Linked DNA regions of Alligator mississippiensis. The main gene of each other region encodes a partner of the protein of the gene in region 2 in a complex. Links are inferred from orthologs where the notes say so. Each region holds a gene or a part of one and is shown on either strand. Other genes may lie near its edges.

Region 1 (8,980 bases), on a different chromosome or scaffold from region 2:
AGCTCTTGTTAGTTGCTAAATACAGGACCTTGCATTAAGTAGTCCTGAATTTCAACCCATTTCTATTACACTAGTCCCCAGGTCTTGCCATGCAGTTTCCCAATTGCTTTTCATATTAATGTTGTCAGGCTTTGAATGAAAAAATCAAACAAGATCTGTCACAAGACCAATCCTTGAGAAACTCAACCAGTAACGTCCTTTCAACCTTTTTTTCAGTACTATTCACTGTCCTCTTTGCAATTAAAAGCCAGTTAATTTCCTATCCAGCTTTACAATTACCAACAACTGTATTGACAGGCTCCTGTTTGGACAAGCGTAGAGTTCATATTTATACCAAAATCTCAAACACTGCACAGAACACTTAAATCTTTTTTCAATGTGCCAAGCAAAGAGAACAAGGAAGTCTGGTATGTGTTACTTGGAAGACTATTCCTGGTTCAAAGTTTGCTAAGGTAGGAGACCTGGACTTACAAGTCAGTAAAAAAAAAAGAGGCAGAAGGAACTGATGCAGAGAGCACAAGGATTGGGAAGGGATGCTGGAGGAGTTCAAGGGAGATACATTAATGGGGCGGAATTATGGAGAGCTTTGAACATACACTTTGATTATATCATACTGTATTTTTTCAGCAAAATGGAAATATACAGTTTGTTTTTCCTTCCCATGATTAGCAACTTAGATGCAGTATGATATTTAAATTGTACAAGACGATATGTTTCACTTTAGTGTAAACCATATGTTCAAAGGAAAATTTAAATAAATGATCTGTGTCCTAATACTGTAGTCATTAACTTTAGCAAAAACTGTATAATCATTTCCATTATGAGCTTATTTATCCTCTCTCTCAAGTACAGACAGTTTCTATCTTATTTCCTGTATAGTAAACAACAATTTCAAGTACAGTATATCTAATCCTGCTGAATTAAAGCTTACTTCCTCTTGTTACAAGCCTTTTCTGAAATAGGGGTAAAAAGTGATATATAAAAATGAAGGATTGTTAATATTATTTTTGCTGTATTGTAAAAAAAGAGGGGGGGGGGGAATGAATTCTGCATATTGACATTAATCCAAAATTCTCTTCTCTTTAAATAGGAGCAAGGTCAGAGCCAAAGTTATTATGTTGGCTGTGTTTTTCTTATATTTTTAAGCATTTTCAAACATCAGTGCCTACTTTACTAATTATACTTTTCAAAAGGTTTCTTTAGCATTCCTTTAATAACTGGCTGGGCACAAAACAGGGGAATGGAGCTTTGTTACCTGGTATAAAAGTTCACAGGTGGGAAATTTTAAGCTGTAAAATAGATCCCAGTATTCCTGAATACAGTGCAAAGTGGAGCATTAAAAAGGTAAGTGTGAAAGTTATTTGCATGTGTACTCTTTTAAAGTTTGTCTCATTTTATGTTATTGTATAGATTACAGACTTATCAAAATGCTTTAATACTTGATTAACACCGCTGAAAGTTAGCAAGGTTTTGAAATAATTCATACTGCCTGTGTGTATACATGTATAATAACCGTTACAGAGTGTTACAGTTTTATGAATACACTCATCTGTACCATTTTCCAAAGGAAAATATAAAGCAAATAGCAGTTATTGTGTTGCATACAATCTGTCATCCTCTAACTATATCACATAATTACTCTTGGAAGAGAAAGAGGTGACTTTATCTCCCCATATTGTGAGCTGGGTTTGCACTGATGTAACCCTCTGCAGCCTTTCATCCCCCAATCATTTGGCAGCTACTGATGGAGGTGATCTCAGTATACAGAACACACTTCATCGGTTTGGTGCGGGGCACATTAAGGCTTCTCATGAGCCGTAGGATACTTCAAAGATATAAACCAGGTATATTTTCAGCATTCGTTAGCAAGTGCATGGCCTCTGGTATATGTTTCTAAATCATTGAATCATAGAAAGTTAGGGTTGGAAGGGACCTCAGGAGCTCATCTAGTCCAACCCCTGTTCAAAGCAGAAACATCCCCAAATAGATCCCCCCCAGCCAAAGCTTGGTCTAGCAGGTCTTAAAAACCTTGAAGGAGACAGTCCACAACCTCTCTGGGTAACCTGTTCCCATGTTTTACTATCCTCCCAGTGAGAAAATTCTGCCCTTGCAAACTTCCCTTGCTGCAACTTGAGACCATTGCTTCTTGTTCTGTCATCCTGGTATATGTTTCAAAATGACCCCAAAAGCCCCTTGATGTTGCTGCTGTGTGAGACTGGGTGAATATAAAGAAAGAAACTAATGGGAATGACAGGAAAACTATGCCCTTCAAAACTTATTATGAAGGATGGCTCCTCTGCAGATACAGAAGTATGAGTCTGGAGTTAACTGAGTCCCCTTCTATTGATAAAATCCAAGGGGGAAATTGCCCTTACAGTCACTATTACCTGAAAATGACTAGGTGCATTTTAAACCATCTCCCCTCCAAAATAACCGTCAGAAAAGGAAGAATAACTCCCTGCCCACTATGTTTGCCAACTCTGTTTGAATCTATTCCGGGAGGTTTCATCACATGATGCAATGACATGCATGACTTTATGTCGGGGAGGCAAATGCACATCACTATTACATTTTAAAAACCCACCGGGCAACTGTGTAAGTCAGATTCAACTTTTAATATGTATTTTAACGAATGCCCCATCGTTTATCTCCTGGGTGATGCTGGCAGGAGATTTCTCTCTAAGCCCTAGGGACTCCCGGGCACTCTTGGGAGGGTTGGCAACCCTAGTGCCCACGGGGGCAGCTGGGCGCAGACCCCACCCTGCCCCAGGAAGTTGCCCAGCACGGCTTACCTGAGCACAGGCTCCAGGAGGTGAAAGCCAGCAGCATCATGCACACCAGTTGGATTCTCATCCTTGCCATCTTCTGCCCTCTAGAAAGTCAAGTCCATAAATACTAAGAAGAGATGGGAGAGGGAGAGGGAGAGACAGACACAGAAAGACAGAGAGAGAAGCGAGTGCAGCTGCTGCTTTGCCTCGAGCTGACTTGGAGGTGTCTGAACCATCGGGGGGACCCGGACCATTGCCTGAGTATATAAGCAGGGCTGTGATGTCACAACAGGACAGCGGCTGTCTCTTAATGAAGCACCCTCCTCCTCCTCCCCCGCCCCCCGCCGTCCCCCAGTCCTCAGTGCCGAGAGCAAGTGACGCGCGTCTCTAATTGCTCCGCTCCGCTTGACGCACTCGGCTCCCAAGTGTTTGGCAAACCCGAGGGCCGGGGTCATTTCTCTCCCTGCCCCTCGCGGCAGGATCCGCGCGCACTGGCCGCAGCCCCTGGAGCAGCCCCGCGGGCCGGCCCGGCCCCTGCACCCTGTCCCGACCCGCGCCACCTCCGCGGCTGCCGCGCCCCGGTCACTCACTCATCGCCAGCGCACCAGGGGTGGCGGGGATAAAACACACCGATCGCCTGAAACGGATGGCATGCATGCAGCTGGCTGGGTGTAACCACCCACGGTTACTTACTTTTTAAACATATTTTGCATAGGTTTCGCCCCCAGCCCCCGTGTTAATTTAGGAGATACAGAAGAACCAAATTCCTGGGCATTTCTGGGTATGGCGACCTGCGTATGAAATAGTGTATCAGATTCGAAGTGTAGAATAGGGTAAATGGGTGTGTCTAGGCAGAGAGAGGAGAGAGAGGAAACATATCTATATCTATACACACACACCACAGTGCCTGGTATTGTACGTAATGTATACTATTAACTTCATTTAATATAATATTCAATATAATAGTGAATATATTAGTATATTAAACTTGAAGTGTACATATAGGGCCCCCATACCCAGGAATGAATGTGTGTGTGTGTACATCTATCGATCGATCGATTGATCGATATAAACACACATACATATACATATCTACCTATCTACATCTCTATCTATCTGTACACAGATAGATGTATACACAGATACACAGATGTATCTAGATAGATAGAGATGTAGATAGGTAGATATGTATATGTGTGTGTGTTTATATAGATCTAGATAGACAGGTAGATAGGTAGATATGTATATGTATGTATGTGTATATATATCTAGATAGGTAGGTAGGTAGATAGGTAGATATGTATATGTATGTGTGTTTATATATATCTAGATAGGTAGGTAGATAGATAGGTAGATATGTATGTGTGTTTATATATATATCTAGATAGGTAGATATGTATATGCATGTGTGTGTATATACACATATACACACACATACACATGTATATGTATATATATGTGTATGTGTGTGTATATGTAGACAGACAGACACACACACACATATACACATACATATATATCTTCATTCTAGAGTATGGGGTCCTATGTAAAATATAAAAAATGTACCCTGTTCCACACTTCAAGTTCAATAATATAGTGATATTATACTAAATATTATATTAATCAAGTTTAATATGTATAATACTACTTACATAACATTAATATATAATAATATATTTATCAAGTTTAATATATATAAAATACCAGGGGGGGAAATCTACACAAAATGTTTTAAAATAACCTTTATACATATATGCATACATATCACTTACCCTGTTCTACACTTCAAGTTGAATGCAATACGTTTTACATTTATGGTAAATTCTTACAATCCTTGAAACACACACACATACACACACACACACCATGTATATAGGGAGCTGTTGTTAAGCTATGGGAGTTGGATTTTCATTAGTGTTGAGCAATACTGATAGTGTCCCAGTGATTTACTGAGAACAGACTCTAGGATGAGCAGAAACCTAAGTAAATAAATATGTAAAAAATGTAAAATTGAGAATGTAAAACTAAATGTTTGTTCCCATACAATCATAGTTTGTGCAAAGGCTTTCTTTAAACTGGATCAGAGAGACTGTATTTTGTTTTAGGTAGTGCCTTTGCCTCCATTAGGGGGAGCAATAGAGATATAAGAAAAAAATAATTTTCTCCAGGCACTGGCATTAAAGCTTTAAGACCTCTGTAGAGCAATCAGAGCTATATTAACTTTTCTTAACACAGATTGATATTTTATGTAGAGCACTTCCTAGCTGTGTTTGCATTCTTTCCTTGTAACTTTTTTATTCTCCCTTTGTTTCCAGTGCTTATGTTGTAAATGTAAAAAATATTCACAGCAGAAGAATGATAAGATAAGGTAATATTTGCATTGAAGTATAGATGTGCAATACTAAAGAATCACATCGACCCTGGATCACATTATTTCTTTGCAGGGTGATTTTCTTTCCTTTATTTAATGCTGATATAATGTGAAGCATTTTTATGCTCATGAATATATTTAAGGACTGGTACCCATACTATACATGCCAACAACAAACTCATCAATTGACAGTTGCTCACATATTGACTGCTTTGCCCACCTCAACAGAGGGAAGTGTGTTCTCTAAAAGTAAAGAGCAAATATAGGCAATGGCAGCGATCAATTATATCTTTCTTCTATATTCTACATATTTATGCACAGTGTTGAAATACATAGCACAGAAGTAAGAGAAAACACACAAGCACTTAAAAACTCTTGCCATAAAAGGCAACTGCTGGTAAAACCTAAACTAATGCCTTTTCTATCAATTCAAGTTTCACTTTACCCTAAAAATTAAACTTGGAAGCACTATAGACATAAATGTATACATACAAACAGTCTTTACGTACATTTTTAATTCTTTGGATTTTAACAGTCGAAAAAGTTGCATGTTATTGAAATCTTTTCTTCTTATCTTACAACACAAGGATGAGTTCCTGAAATAATCTTCACACTGTACAGTCAGTGTTGTTATTTCGCACTGTGGTTAAACAGTATGTAGTGCGTAAAGACCAATCTTCAGCTGATTTTATTCTGTGGGTGTGCTGCTTTTTCTCACAGATCTGTGAATGAGAATCATATTTAACAGATTAATATTTTCTAGTTCTTGCCTCCTGCCATGGATTTCTCCATTAGTGCAATTTCCCATATTCTTAACCTAACTGGAATCTATAGGTTTAGTGGCTTTTCTTTCCCTCGATGAATCAAGTATTGTCAATTTCAATGCCGATAAAAGTTATGATCACTTTGCAGGGGGGAGTTGTTTGCTTTTTTTACCCTGGTACTCCCTGGATTATGAGTCTCTGAGGAATAATTTAAAGTTTTGTCTATATTACGAACTTTTTAATCTTTACCTCTGTTTTTCTCTCACTACCGACAAATGGCAAGGCTTGAGCACCATGTGTCCAAAATTTCTTGTGCCTCCACATCCCCTTCATTGCTCATCTGTGCTCTCTTGACATATTAATTTCAAGCGCACTTAGGTCAGGCACACTGATGCAGCACCATTAAGTACTTTTATTCTGTTCTAAGTAGGATTGAGCTGTCTTCTCTTTGTCTATTGCTCCTTTATTTCGTTTCCACCCGTTCCTTCCTTGACTGCAGCTTTCCGCAGCCACTCTGTTCCATGCTTAGAATATGAGCCATCTTAATGGCTCATTCTCAAAATAAGTTCCTTTCATATTTAGGTCTCTTTCCTATTCTGAAGTGTTTATCTTGCAGGAAAACCTGTTCAATGAGAGGCTTTCTCGAAGGTAATTAATCCCATTTCTGAAAAGTTCACCTTCACTTTATCTCTGAAGTTCCCTCTTTTTCATTTTAATCATGGGAATGGAATGTATGTGTAGGCTCTTGTAAGCATCACTTAGAATGGGATTGCTGTCACATCCTAGTGGCATTCAGCCTGTGGTTTGCTGAACATTTCCAGACCCATATGCTACCTTGTATCAAACAATGAAGCATCTGTAAGTAATTAAGGAATTTTGCTTTCTGTTAATGGAACAATAAGAGAACAACAACAGCAAATCATTTGTTTTCACCCTGTGCAGTCTGTTTTGGCTTGTTGCCTATAATAAAGGTGAATAGGTGATACCCTATATCTATAGGAGGAGAGAAACAACCAGCTAAATGCCCTGAAGTGCAAAAATGTTGGAGTATTGTAGCTCTGAGGGTCCAGTAAGTATGTGAGAAGCAAGGGGTTTTTTGGTAGTATGTTTAATCAGAAAACAGCTGAGACCAAACAAGTCACCCTGTGCCTGAAAGCTTGTCTAACATCTCTTCCCAACTATTTGTCTAATAAAAGATATTGCCATAAGACATCGTTGTTTTAACTTGTTTTACAGCCAGTCTTCTGTGACATTTTTACATACCTAAGCACTACTCATGCTTCAAGAAAAGTCGGGAATCATGAATCTTGTAGAGGTTGGTTTCTGAAGATAAGTTCCTTAAAACCAGAGATTTACCTATGCTGTTATGTTTTCATAACATGAAAATATGGGTTGGTGTATGTTTTTATTACACTTTGCCTTTTTTAATGTTCCACATATACTCGTAAATGGCAAAAAAAAAAGGTCTTGTGAAAGCTGTAAATCACAACCTGGAGGCTGGGCTGATAGAAGAAAGGGCCCAGAAGGTATCTGTATGACAGCAACATTGATTTGAACCTAAAGCTGCCAAGACAACCCTCACCACATCTTTCTATTGTACATGTGACTGCCAGTGGCCCCTGTTAGCCATTCCAGCAGACGGGGAGAAGGCACAGATTTGGCTCCTGTCCTTGCATACGTTTTCTTCAATATCCCCCAGGGATTCTCTTCATGCCAGAAAAAATTCAGGAAGTTGGTTAAGCCAGTTTTAAAGATCCTTTGCATTGTCGAAGCAATGTAAAGCAACCAGGCTATGACTAGTATGTGAGTCAGACATATTTCTTAATATTAGTTAGGTCTATGTGTCCTTAAAAGCTGTGGTTCAGTAGGGATTTTCTTAAGCCATATAGGTTTTTTGGTATCTCAGATTCAATCAGAATGTCTCTATCTGACAAAGGTTTCTGAATGTGTGTAGTCTGTCAGTCAGTGTAAGGAAGAGATGACAGATTGGTGGAGCTGGTCTTCTAGGAAGGCTAAGTTCCTCACACTAGAGGAGCTTTTTTTTGGTTGTCAAATTGTCAGACAGCTTTATTCAGGATTTCTAAATAACCTTAACCACAGAATAGTTCTTCCCATTGTACGGTTGTTTTCTTTCACAAAGTATAGCAGGTGTTAGACTTGCAAAGACTTTAAGATTATTTGGCTCACCATTAGCAAGGCAGGTCCTCTCTCTGGAATATTATGATGGAATCAAAATGATATCATTACAGAAATCATCCAGGTTGTTAAGGAAAAACAGTGAATATACTATTGAATCCCTTTTTTTTTGCTTGAAAGTTTTTAATTAAAATTTAAAAAAAATAATTTTAGTTAAAGTTTTCAATTACAATTTCAAATTTGGAACCCCCTCTTACCTCCCAAAAACCCAGCCCTCACTGCCAATATTCACTACAATCCCTTTGGATTAAGAATATTTCAATTTTGAAATCTCCTTGCAAGCCAGCAGGGAGTTGTAGTTTCTGGGTACCTCGTGCACATATTTTTATCCATAGAATGAGTTCCCTGGTCATACTAATTTTTTTTAATTAAAAAATTAGGTTTTGGCCCAATAGCTCTTCAGTTTTTAGGTGACTGATTTCAATTAAAAGTCAGATTTTTCCACAAAAAATGAATACTATACATGAAGAATGCTTCAATGAAGAAATCAATTGATCAAAAGTGAGTTTGATAGAAAAAAACATAATGGCTTTAGCATATATTGCCATACAATATTGATTATCTAGAAGTCAATTGTCTGGAACAGCCATTAACTAAAACAGGGGCAGGCAATTATTTCGGGCAGAGGGCCACTTACTGAGTTTTGGCAAGCCATCGAGGGCCACATGATAGGCAGCCCAGGGCAGATAAATGTTAATTTACTAATTTTTTTAGGGGCCCTGCAGGCCAGACAGAATGGCCTGGCAGGCCGCATCTAGCCTGTGGGCCACCTTTTGCCCACCCCTGAACTAAAAGGTCCCCTGATCTTCCCTTTCATTCTCTGACTTGTGCAGAGAGTAGCTGGCTCCTTGATAGCATGCCCAGTGGCAAGCTATCAGGGA
Region 2 (8,920 bases):
TGAAGACATTGAACAAAACCGGCCCAGGACCGACCTCTGAGACACTCCACTTGATATTGGCTGCCAACTAGACGTTGAGACATTGATCATTACTCTTTGAGCCTGATGCTCCAGCCAGTTTTCTATCCACCTTACAGTCCATTCATCCAGCCTGTACTTCCTTAGCTTGCCTGCGAGAATGCTGCGGGAGACGGTACCAAAAGCCTTGCCAAAATCAAGGTACACCACATCCACTGGTTTCTCCACATCCACAGAACCAGTCACCTCATCATAGAAGGCAATCAGGTTGGTCAGGCATGACTTGCCCTTGGTGAATCTATGCTGACTGTTCCTAATCAGCTTTTTCTCCTCCAAGTGCTTAGAAATGGGTTCTTTGAGGATCTGCTCCATGATTTTTCCAGGGACAAAGGTGAAGTTGACTGGTCTGTAGTTCCCTGGATCCTCCTTTTTTCCCCTTTCTTAAATGTGGGAACTCTGCCCTTTTCCAATCATCCAGGACCTCTCCTGATCACCATGAGTTTTCCAAGATGATAGCCAGTGGCTCTGCAATCTTATCAGCCAACTCCCTCAGGTGCATCCCAACTGGCCCCATGGACTTGTACATGTCCAGCTTTTTTAAACAGTCCCATACCTGTTCTTTCACCACTGTTGGCATCTTACCTCCTCCTCAAACTATGCTGCCTGGTACAGAAGTCTGGGACCTTCAGCCTCTGATCATAGGAGAAACCCTGCCGACGCACAGAACTCACCACCACCCCTGTGCTCCTCCAACTAGCTCCTTGCTACCTAGAAGCACTGGAACGACTAAGCCAGCAGGATCCCCAGGATGAAGTTTACCCAAGCAATAGTTTGTAGAGAACTGGGAAGCAGCTCTAGCTGGCTGGAGAGGGTGGAAGGCGCCTAATGCCACCCAACAAGCCCAAGCAAGGACCAGCACTGAAGCTGTGCGCAGAGCTGCAGTCAATCCACTTCAAACTGGAGACTGACATCCACTGTCCACATGGCAAAGGGGAAACAGGCTCTCCCCCACGTGCACACAGGCTCCCGTAGCGGAGATACGGAGACTCTGGAGTATAACCCATATCTTCTGGGAGAAAGGCCCCTCTCAGGCTAAGGGACAGCAGAATAAACCTCAAGAAGAGAGGCAATGTACTGAGCATCAGCTTCCAGATTTCACTCTCTCTTAAGAAGCCCATAATAAAAGCCTAAGAGCTCTTACTTGCTCTTTCTCTAGTCTCCAACAGGCACCATCTATTCTATCACAGACGGGGAGGACAAAACACTGCCAGTGCTAGCAAACAAATGCACACATTCTTCTTCGTGCTGAGCCACCATGTTATTACCCACCACACAGATTTTTCTGACACAGCCTGTTTCTTTTAGACACTGTGGGCTTTTTATATCCCCACAGAGGCGCCGTGATAGAGGAGGGAGGTTTGGCTTGTGGGGCAATGCAAAGAATGAGGAGTGTCAGGAGAGCTGGGCTCTGCTCCCAGCTCTGTCCCAGGCTGGTTTTGGGCAAAGTACACTGGACGGCTCCATTTTTCATCCCTAAAAAAGGGAGAATGCTTACAGTATATTACAAGGAGATTGGATGCTAAACGCAATGTTCAAGTCCTTGAAATCCCTTAGAAGGAAGCAGTCAGAGCTGATCATAGAAGCTGCGCCACCTTATTCCAACCAGACCAGGATGGTAGAAAAGACAGACTGAAGTGCTCCATTAAGCCATGAAACCCATCCATCCCAAGGACAGGCTATCACCCCTAAGAGGGAATGTAACATTAAACCGGCATGTTTACCCCAAACTTCAGCCTGTTTGCTTTAATCTTCCCAACTTTTGATAACGCACCAGGTACTATAGGCAAGTAGAAACAGACTTGAATTGCTTGGCCAGTGACAGAATTCACAGCTGTGATGGAAGCCATCTGAAGGCAAGCCCCACGAAAAGCAATGCAATGCTTGCCTGCCTTCCCCCACCTGCAGAGCCACATTGGGTAGCTTCATTCCTGCTCCCAGCTTGACCAAGCAGTAGCACAACATTAACAGAAGCTGTTCAGGTTCACAGTCAGTAAGACTGGGGTTGCCAGCAGAAGTTGAACATTTGCCCCTGGGTATCTACTGCTTGGAAAAGCCAAAAGCGGAAGCAGACACTGGGGCAGTGTCAGGGAGAAGAAGCCAAACAGATGTCAGAAAGTACCAGCCACACTCCCTGCATCTGCAGCAATGGGGAGGCTCTGTGCAAGGGGTAGGAGGCTTCTGCCCCTCAAAGCAGCTGCAACACTCACGTGTTTGAGGGAGGTGAGGTAGGGACAGGACTTTTTCAATCAGTTAGTGACATCAGGGCAAATCCTGGGAATCCCAGCCAAAGAGGAGGCTTTCACTGCACTAAGCTTTCCATAGGCAGGCAAGAAAAGCAAATCCCTGCTCCCTGTGGTTTGGCATCTCGGGGTCAGGCGGGTGGATGAAATAAGCAGTTGGGATCAGGCTGGATTTACACTAAAGAGCAGTGCACTAGGGCTTGGCTTCCTACCAGTGCTCTGCTCTGGCATCGGGCTGGGTTTGGGGAGAGAGGATGGGATCTCGCCTTTTCTACCGGACCTTCAGCAAGTAATCAACTGGCAAGCTCTAAGGCTGGTATTAAAAGAAACAGGACAGCCGAGTTTAGCCTTTGGGCAGGGGCAGGCCTTTGCAAGTCGGAAATACACAGGCGGACGAGATTTTAGGGCTGCCGGATTCGGCAGGATTGCTTCAATCTCAATCTTTTGCTTGACTTTTTCACCCCTGCAACAAGAAGCTACCGTGTCCTGGGGAAGGGCTGCGCTAAGGGCTCCGACACCAGCTACTACATCAAGTTTATAAAAAAAAAAAAAAATTAAAAAAATGGGGAAGCAGAAAAGCCTGGAGGACGCCACCCCATGGAGTGCTAACTCCGGATTGCCTTGGAAGGGAAGTCCTTCCCCGGAGAACGGGGGTGAAGCCTGCCAGACACAGGTCTGCTCTTCAGGGCCCCAAAAGAGCCGTAGGCTTCAGGTAAGGAACGGAGCCAGGAAAAAACCTGCCGAGAGCGCAACGAACACTGCCGAGGCCGTAAAAAGAGCCAAGACGGGGAAAGGAAGGAATGCGAGCGCAGGATTTTCCACTGCGGGTCATTCGTTCGACAGCAGCCCCGAATCACCCCGCTGTCACGAGGGGCCCGGGACCCGGGACGCTTCCCACCACGCGCTCGCTCCCTTCTCCGAAGCCTTCCCGCAGGGGCGACGGCTGGAGCCCGTCACACTGCGACTGCGGGCCCGCCGCCCTCGGGCGCATTGGCAGGACGCGGCACAAGTCGGAGCTTGACCCCACTGAAACCCGGGGAGGGGAGGGGCGGGGATCCCTGCGGGGCACCTGGCCCAATTGAAGCCAGGCCCCGGCGGCTCAGGCGGAGAGATCCGCACGGAGGACGGCCAAGGGCTGCCAATGGGCACGCTGCTGCCGCGCACAGACCTGGAGACTGAGGCGCGGGCCCCGAGCGCCCCCGCTCACCTTGTGCGTGTTGTTGACCAGGGCGCCCTGGACATCGCGCAGGTCGCCGCACTCGGGCAGCCGGGCCGGGCGGGAGAGCGGCGACAGCAGCAGCAGGACGAGGCCGCTCAGCGCAGCCGCCCGCAGCCCCATCGCCACTCCGCCGCCTCTGCCCCGCGGCCGCCCCGCAGCTCCGCGCGCCGCCCCGCCCCCCGCGCCTCATTGGGCGGCGCGTGCGCGGGCGGCGGTCCGCATTGGGCGAGCGGGACGTCACTCGGCCCCTCCGAGGAGCGCGCCCCGCCTTTCCCTGACAGCTTCGCCGCCATTCGCGGAGCCGCAGCCACTCGCGGGCTCGGATTGGCTGGAGCAGGCGTCAGTCTCTGCCATGGCAACCATAAAGCCTTTCAGGCCGGCTATGCGCTTTCCGTGGGCTTCGCTCTTTGCCCCCGCCTTGTCAATGTCTTGTTGAGGTCCCACCCCCTTCCCCAGTTCATTGGCTGTTACTCTTGTAGGCTCCCTAGGCTGGCCTCACCCCCCACGCTGGTCGCTCTAGCGACTGCTTGCTGATTGGCTACGGGCTGCGCCCAGCCCTTCGGCCATTGGCTGAGCACGAGACGCTCTGTTCGCGACTAAACACTCGGGATCCTGGCCCCGCCCCCTGTCCTGCGGGGAGAGGAGAGGCCGGATCGGACGAGCGGGGCCACTCGCGTTAACCCCTTCTGCGCCGCGGGCGGTGCCTGCCTGTGCACTCCCAGGCGCTCACTCAAGGGGGCGCTTGAACGTGCGGCCACGCGGGCAGGACGCTGCTGCCAGAGGTGCCAAGAGCTGGATTAACCCTTCCCTGGCTCTGCCGCCAGTAGCCACAGTGGTGGCAGGGCCGGGAAAGCAGCCTCCATCCCCCGGCCCGGGGCACAGCTGCATCCAGCTCTGTCTCTGGAGGAGCAGGGAGCACAGCTGCACTTCTCCAGATAGAGCTGGAGGGGGGCAACCCTCTCTCCGCTCCCTCCTTCTGGACTCACCTACCTGGTTCTTCCCCCAAGCTGCTTTTCCTGCATTAACCCGAGGCCTCCATCCATCCACCCTGTTGCCGTCACTGATTTTTGGTTTCTTTCAGCTGGAGCTACAGAAGAGCAAACGTCAAATTGCAGGATCACATGGATTGTTTAAAAATCGCTCAGATCCAGCGTGAGCAGGAAGGGAGCCCGGAGCGCCACATGCTACAAAAGACAGACAGAAAATTGCTGTTCGTTTTCAAAAGTCTCACCAGGTTTAAGCCAATGATGTTTCTCAGACTAGAGTCACACTTTTGACTGCTTCAAGTTGCCAGTCTTAGAGCTAGCCAGCTCCCACATGCCAGGCTGTGCCCAAAAGTAAACCCATCACTGAGCCCCGATGCTGCACTCCTATGCCACTGGAAGACAGCTAGCAACCTTCACAGCTTGGTGCGATTACATTGGAAATGCATTGCAAGAGCTGAGAAACAATGAATGATCATCACACTGCTTGCTAAGCAGGGTCTTTACCTCGTATTCGCTTTGCCCCCAGGGGATTTTATTATTTCCAGTAAATAAATGAGGGTATTTGATGAGATGAAATTGCTGAAAGAATTGGAGAGAGAAAGGTCAGGCGGGATATTTGCTGAATGAGAATAAAGAAGTGCTGCTTTGCTTAGGGCTGGAACGACAACAGAGACAAGAAGCCAAGAATCGAAAGTGAAGGGCCTTGTAAAGTGAAAAGTCTGGAAGAACAAACTCAGCAAGAATGGAAAAAGAGCAGAAATGGTAAGAGCAAGGAACAGGAAGACAAGGTATTTGCAGTGCCTGCAAAGGGGAAGAAGATAGGACTAGCTGTAAGAGACACTCTAATCCATTGGTTTTCAACCTGTGGTCGCAGACGCCTAGAGGTCTTCAGGCTATGCCTAAGGGGCTCGCGAAAGATTATGATGATTAGGAGTTTACCTAACTCATGGTGAGACGAAGCAATTTTTGCAGCTTGATTGCGGCATGAAGAGTTGATTTCATGGGCATATTCCAGTGGCCCCACCCCTCACTGCTGATTGAATGGTATTATGCCTCTGCCAATTTAATAGCAAATTCCACAGAAAGTAAATTATATCATGTAGCATATTATTATAATTCTAAATATTTCTTTTAAATAAAATTACATCTATTATAAATGTATACACAATATGGATTACAATTTGTATCCTGTTGTTATTATATGTAGCATTCTACAAAAAAGTTTAGAAATACTAATTAACACCAATTTTAACAGAAACATTTTCACTGACTGGCACCGTTACTTAGTTTCTGTCACTAGCAGACAGTGGGTGCATCTACACATTCACCAATGCACTTTTGCTACTGCACATTAAATTCAGTACCTCTAATGTGAGGTACTAACTAAATGTGCATTGGGCTGCCCTAATGCGCAGTAGCACAAGTGCATGCTTCTTTAGTGATGCTTCATTCTCAGTAGCCTAATTTTACTGCACATTAACATGGTTTGCCGTGACTCTCTAATGCGCATTAAAATAGGTTACTGCACATTGAAGTGCACGTGTAAATGCACTCAGTAATGCTCAATGATGTGATCTATGGCTGCAGCGACTCATGTTGTCTTCATATTGCGGTAAGCACTGAGATATTCTAAAACAGCGTATCCTATGAATAATACGCTGGGGATTTTTTTAGATTAGTTCCACAGGAAATGGTGGCCAGTGCAGTATTTCTTGGCGATTGTAGACAACAGTTTTTTGTGGTTTCCACAAAAACCATGAAGCCAGGAATTAAGTAGACACTTAATTATGATCATAAGTATGTGAATACCCCCACTTACAGTTCAAAAGGTCCGGACCTCCATTTGAAAATTTTGTAGGGGTCTGCAAATGAAAAAAGGTTGAAAACCACTTCTCTAATCATTGGGTTGGGTGGAAAAGCAGCACTCAATGCCTCCTACCCACTGGAGAATGGCATGCACATTGAACTGGTTTTCTTCACTGCCTACAAGCCCTTGCCTGGTATAAACAATCTAACATGTTTTCATTCAAGGCAACAATTATGGCTTTACAAATCTGTGTTTAGAGTGTTATATAAGAAAGTTGGACTATTTCCATAGACAGAAGCAGCCAATATTTGCGGGGCACAGCATAGTCTGAGAATCCAAGGCATGGAAATTAAACCTTAACTTGTTTTTTTGCTTTTTAAATAGCAACCAACTAACAGAGGCTTTGGTTTGGCGTGTCACATGCCACACCACACCAAAACAATCTTTTGAAGGTACGGCATTGCTTTGCAACAAATTCATACGAAGCTTCCTCCTTGGAAGTAAAGACCGCTCTAAATGCAGTTAGAATAATAAACAAGATAAAAGCTTTCCCCTTCAGTCCCAAGAGAGGTAGGGACTTGCAAGCATTCAAATCAAGGGAAGTCATGAAGGATGAATTGGGCTAAGAGCTAACGCAACCGAAATTAAGCCTCTGTAACCGAGTTAAGAGGGAGAGAATGGCTTATCTCACCACAGCAGCTGATAAAATCATTATGGACTCTACCCAAGGTCACTGACAAGTCAAATAGATTTAAAACCACCAACAGTTCCTGGCTCTTTGTATTCATTCCATATTCCCTTGCAAATGAAAAAGGGTTCACCAACAGAGACCTTAATCTTGCTAATATCATTACTTCATACTTTTATTTTTTCCTCTTAACCCTACTTGGAACGTAGGGTTAAACGTAGGCGTTTAAAAACAAGGATATCCAACTTTCTACCTAGGCTGTCCCACCCAGGCAGCCTGCAGGGTTGGGGAAAAGGTAGCAAAAAGAGCAAATAAAATGCACTTGACTGAAAAAGTGGAGGAGCAGCAAGGATCTATCATTCTGAGATTCCCCAGCTTGTATTTGGCTTGTTGGCCGCCTTACAACAATCTCAAGTGTTTTGTTTCTCACCAGACCTTAGAGGGATCAGACGTAAGAATACAAAGCCTTGATTTTTAAGTTAGAAGGAAACCGTGGCAGCATCACATAGCTACTGGTACCAGCTACCATGTGATTCGGGTAGGAAATAAAGGACTAGTTCTTTGTTTGAAAGCTATGAAGGGAAGAATTATTTTTTTGTATTTTGGTTTCCTAAAAAAAGCTAGCATGAATAGCACCGTTTTCTGGAACAACAAAATTCGTAATGTCACTTACTGGGAATATTTGTGCAGTGTTTGGACACCTACTAGACAATACTATTGTTGCCCCAGGATTTCTTTTACCAGAGACCCCCAAGGATTGACATGGTCCCTTGTCCGATTTGGTATCAAGTGAACTTTATTAGTAACCCCTAGGCTTATTACAAGTTTATTAGCCTTATAATATGACCTGGCAAGTGGTTCCTTCAGGTGTTACTGGTGCGACCTTCAGTGGTACCGGCTTCTGATCCTCTGCGGGGTGTGTGGGATGTTAGTTTCTGGATTCCTCGTCTGAACAAAAATTTCAAGGTTGCTCCTGCCTCCCCAAGGTGGCAAACACAGAACACACACCATCTCTTTTGTTTGTCCACTACTTTTGTAATTCTCTCATCTCAAACTGTCCAATCCTTAAGTTTCTTCCCTCATCTTTTTAGATAAGGTACTCCGATCCTATTCTGTTTTTGGCTTCCTTTCCTTTTAGGGAAACTACTGTACCTGGTTAGCCCACTATATCAACCACAGCATTTATGTTTCCCAGTGCGTTATAAGGCACTCTGTACAATTTAATTGCTTAGTTCTGGGAAGGCCTAAAAGTTATGCTAAGAGCCTGAGCATAACTCAATTTGCCCCCTACAACTATAGTAATCCAAAGGCTAAAGACAATAACATTGAATAGCTAAATCCTACACTTATCTTACGTGCAACTTTCAGTGTTATTGGACCTTGGACATTACACTGATAGAAACCAGAATACAATCCATTAGGCACATTCTTAGAGGTGGTATAGTCCAGTGTGGAATGGGACTTTGAACACTTCAGTTCTATTATTGGCTCTCACCATCCTGCTGGGTTCCCCAAAAGAATAACAGTAAAATTAAGGTTTCGTGCAGCTGCCTGGCAGTACCATCAATAAAACTCCTGCTGGAGATTCAGCAGCCTGTGACTTCAGTTACAGTAAAATGGCTTTCTTCACAGACTTAACTAGATTTAGTAAATTCAGTAGAAATGGAGGCTTTAACCATACCGAGGGCGAATTCCAATCTTTCCACCACTGCAAGTTTCTCTAAGGTCTTTCTTGATTGTTACGCTGAATGTTTCTTTCACACAGAAGACAAAAGTTCTTTTTTTTCTTCGTTATGAAATTGTTTAATTTTTCAAAATAGGAAAGACAGTATAGATCAACTCCAGGTAGATCTAACCTGAACTGCATACAAGTGTTTAAAGAACCACTCACTCATTAGAAAT

The links.
Region 1: the proteins of SORT1 (region 2) and NTS are in contact, whole or in part, in a crystal structure (PDB 4PO7), measured with the Homo sapiens proteins. The link is inferred for Alligator mississippiensis from reciprocal best matches to the Homo sapiens genes SORT1 and NTS. Residues at the interface, in NP_002950.3 of Homo sapiens: Val112, Ser113, Leu114, Ser115, Trp116, Lys260, Tyr304, Ser305, Phe306, Gly307, Leu308, Phe314, Ser316, Arg325, Ile327, Phe350, Tyr351, Ser352, Ile353, Tyr395, Gly399, Thr570, Gly571, Leu572, Ala573, Trp586, Trp597; in NP_006174.1 of Homo sapiens: Leu152, Tyr153, Glu154, Asn155, Pro160, Tyr161, Ile162, Leu163.

What each region holds. Positions count from the first base shown.
Region 1 is NC_081827.1:82,662,046-82,671,025, reverse strand, and holds the start of NTS (neurotensin/neuromedin N), read right to left. Parts: upstream 3,553-8,980; 5' UTR 3,482-3,552; coding exon 3,462-3,481; intron 2,873-3,461; coding exon 2,793-2,872; intron 1-2,792. UniProt on the Homo sapiens protein: Neurotensin may play an endocrine or paracrine role in the regulation of fat metabolism. It causes contraction of smooth muscle.
Region 2 is NC_081837.1:34,114,961-34,123,880, forward strand, and holds the start of SORT1 (sortilin), read right to left. Parts: upstream 3,693-8,920; 5' UTR 3,658-3,692; coding exon 3,526-3,657; intron 1-3,525.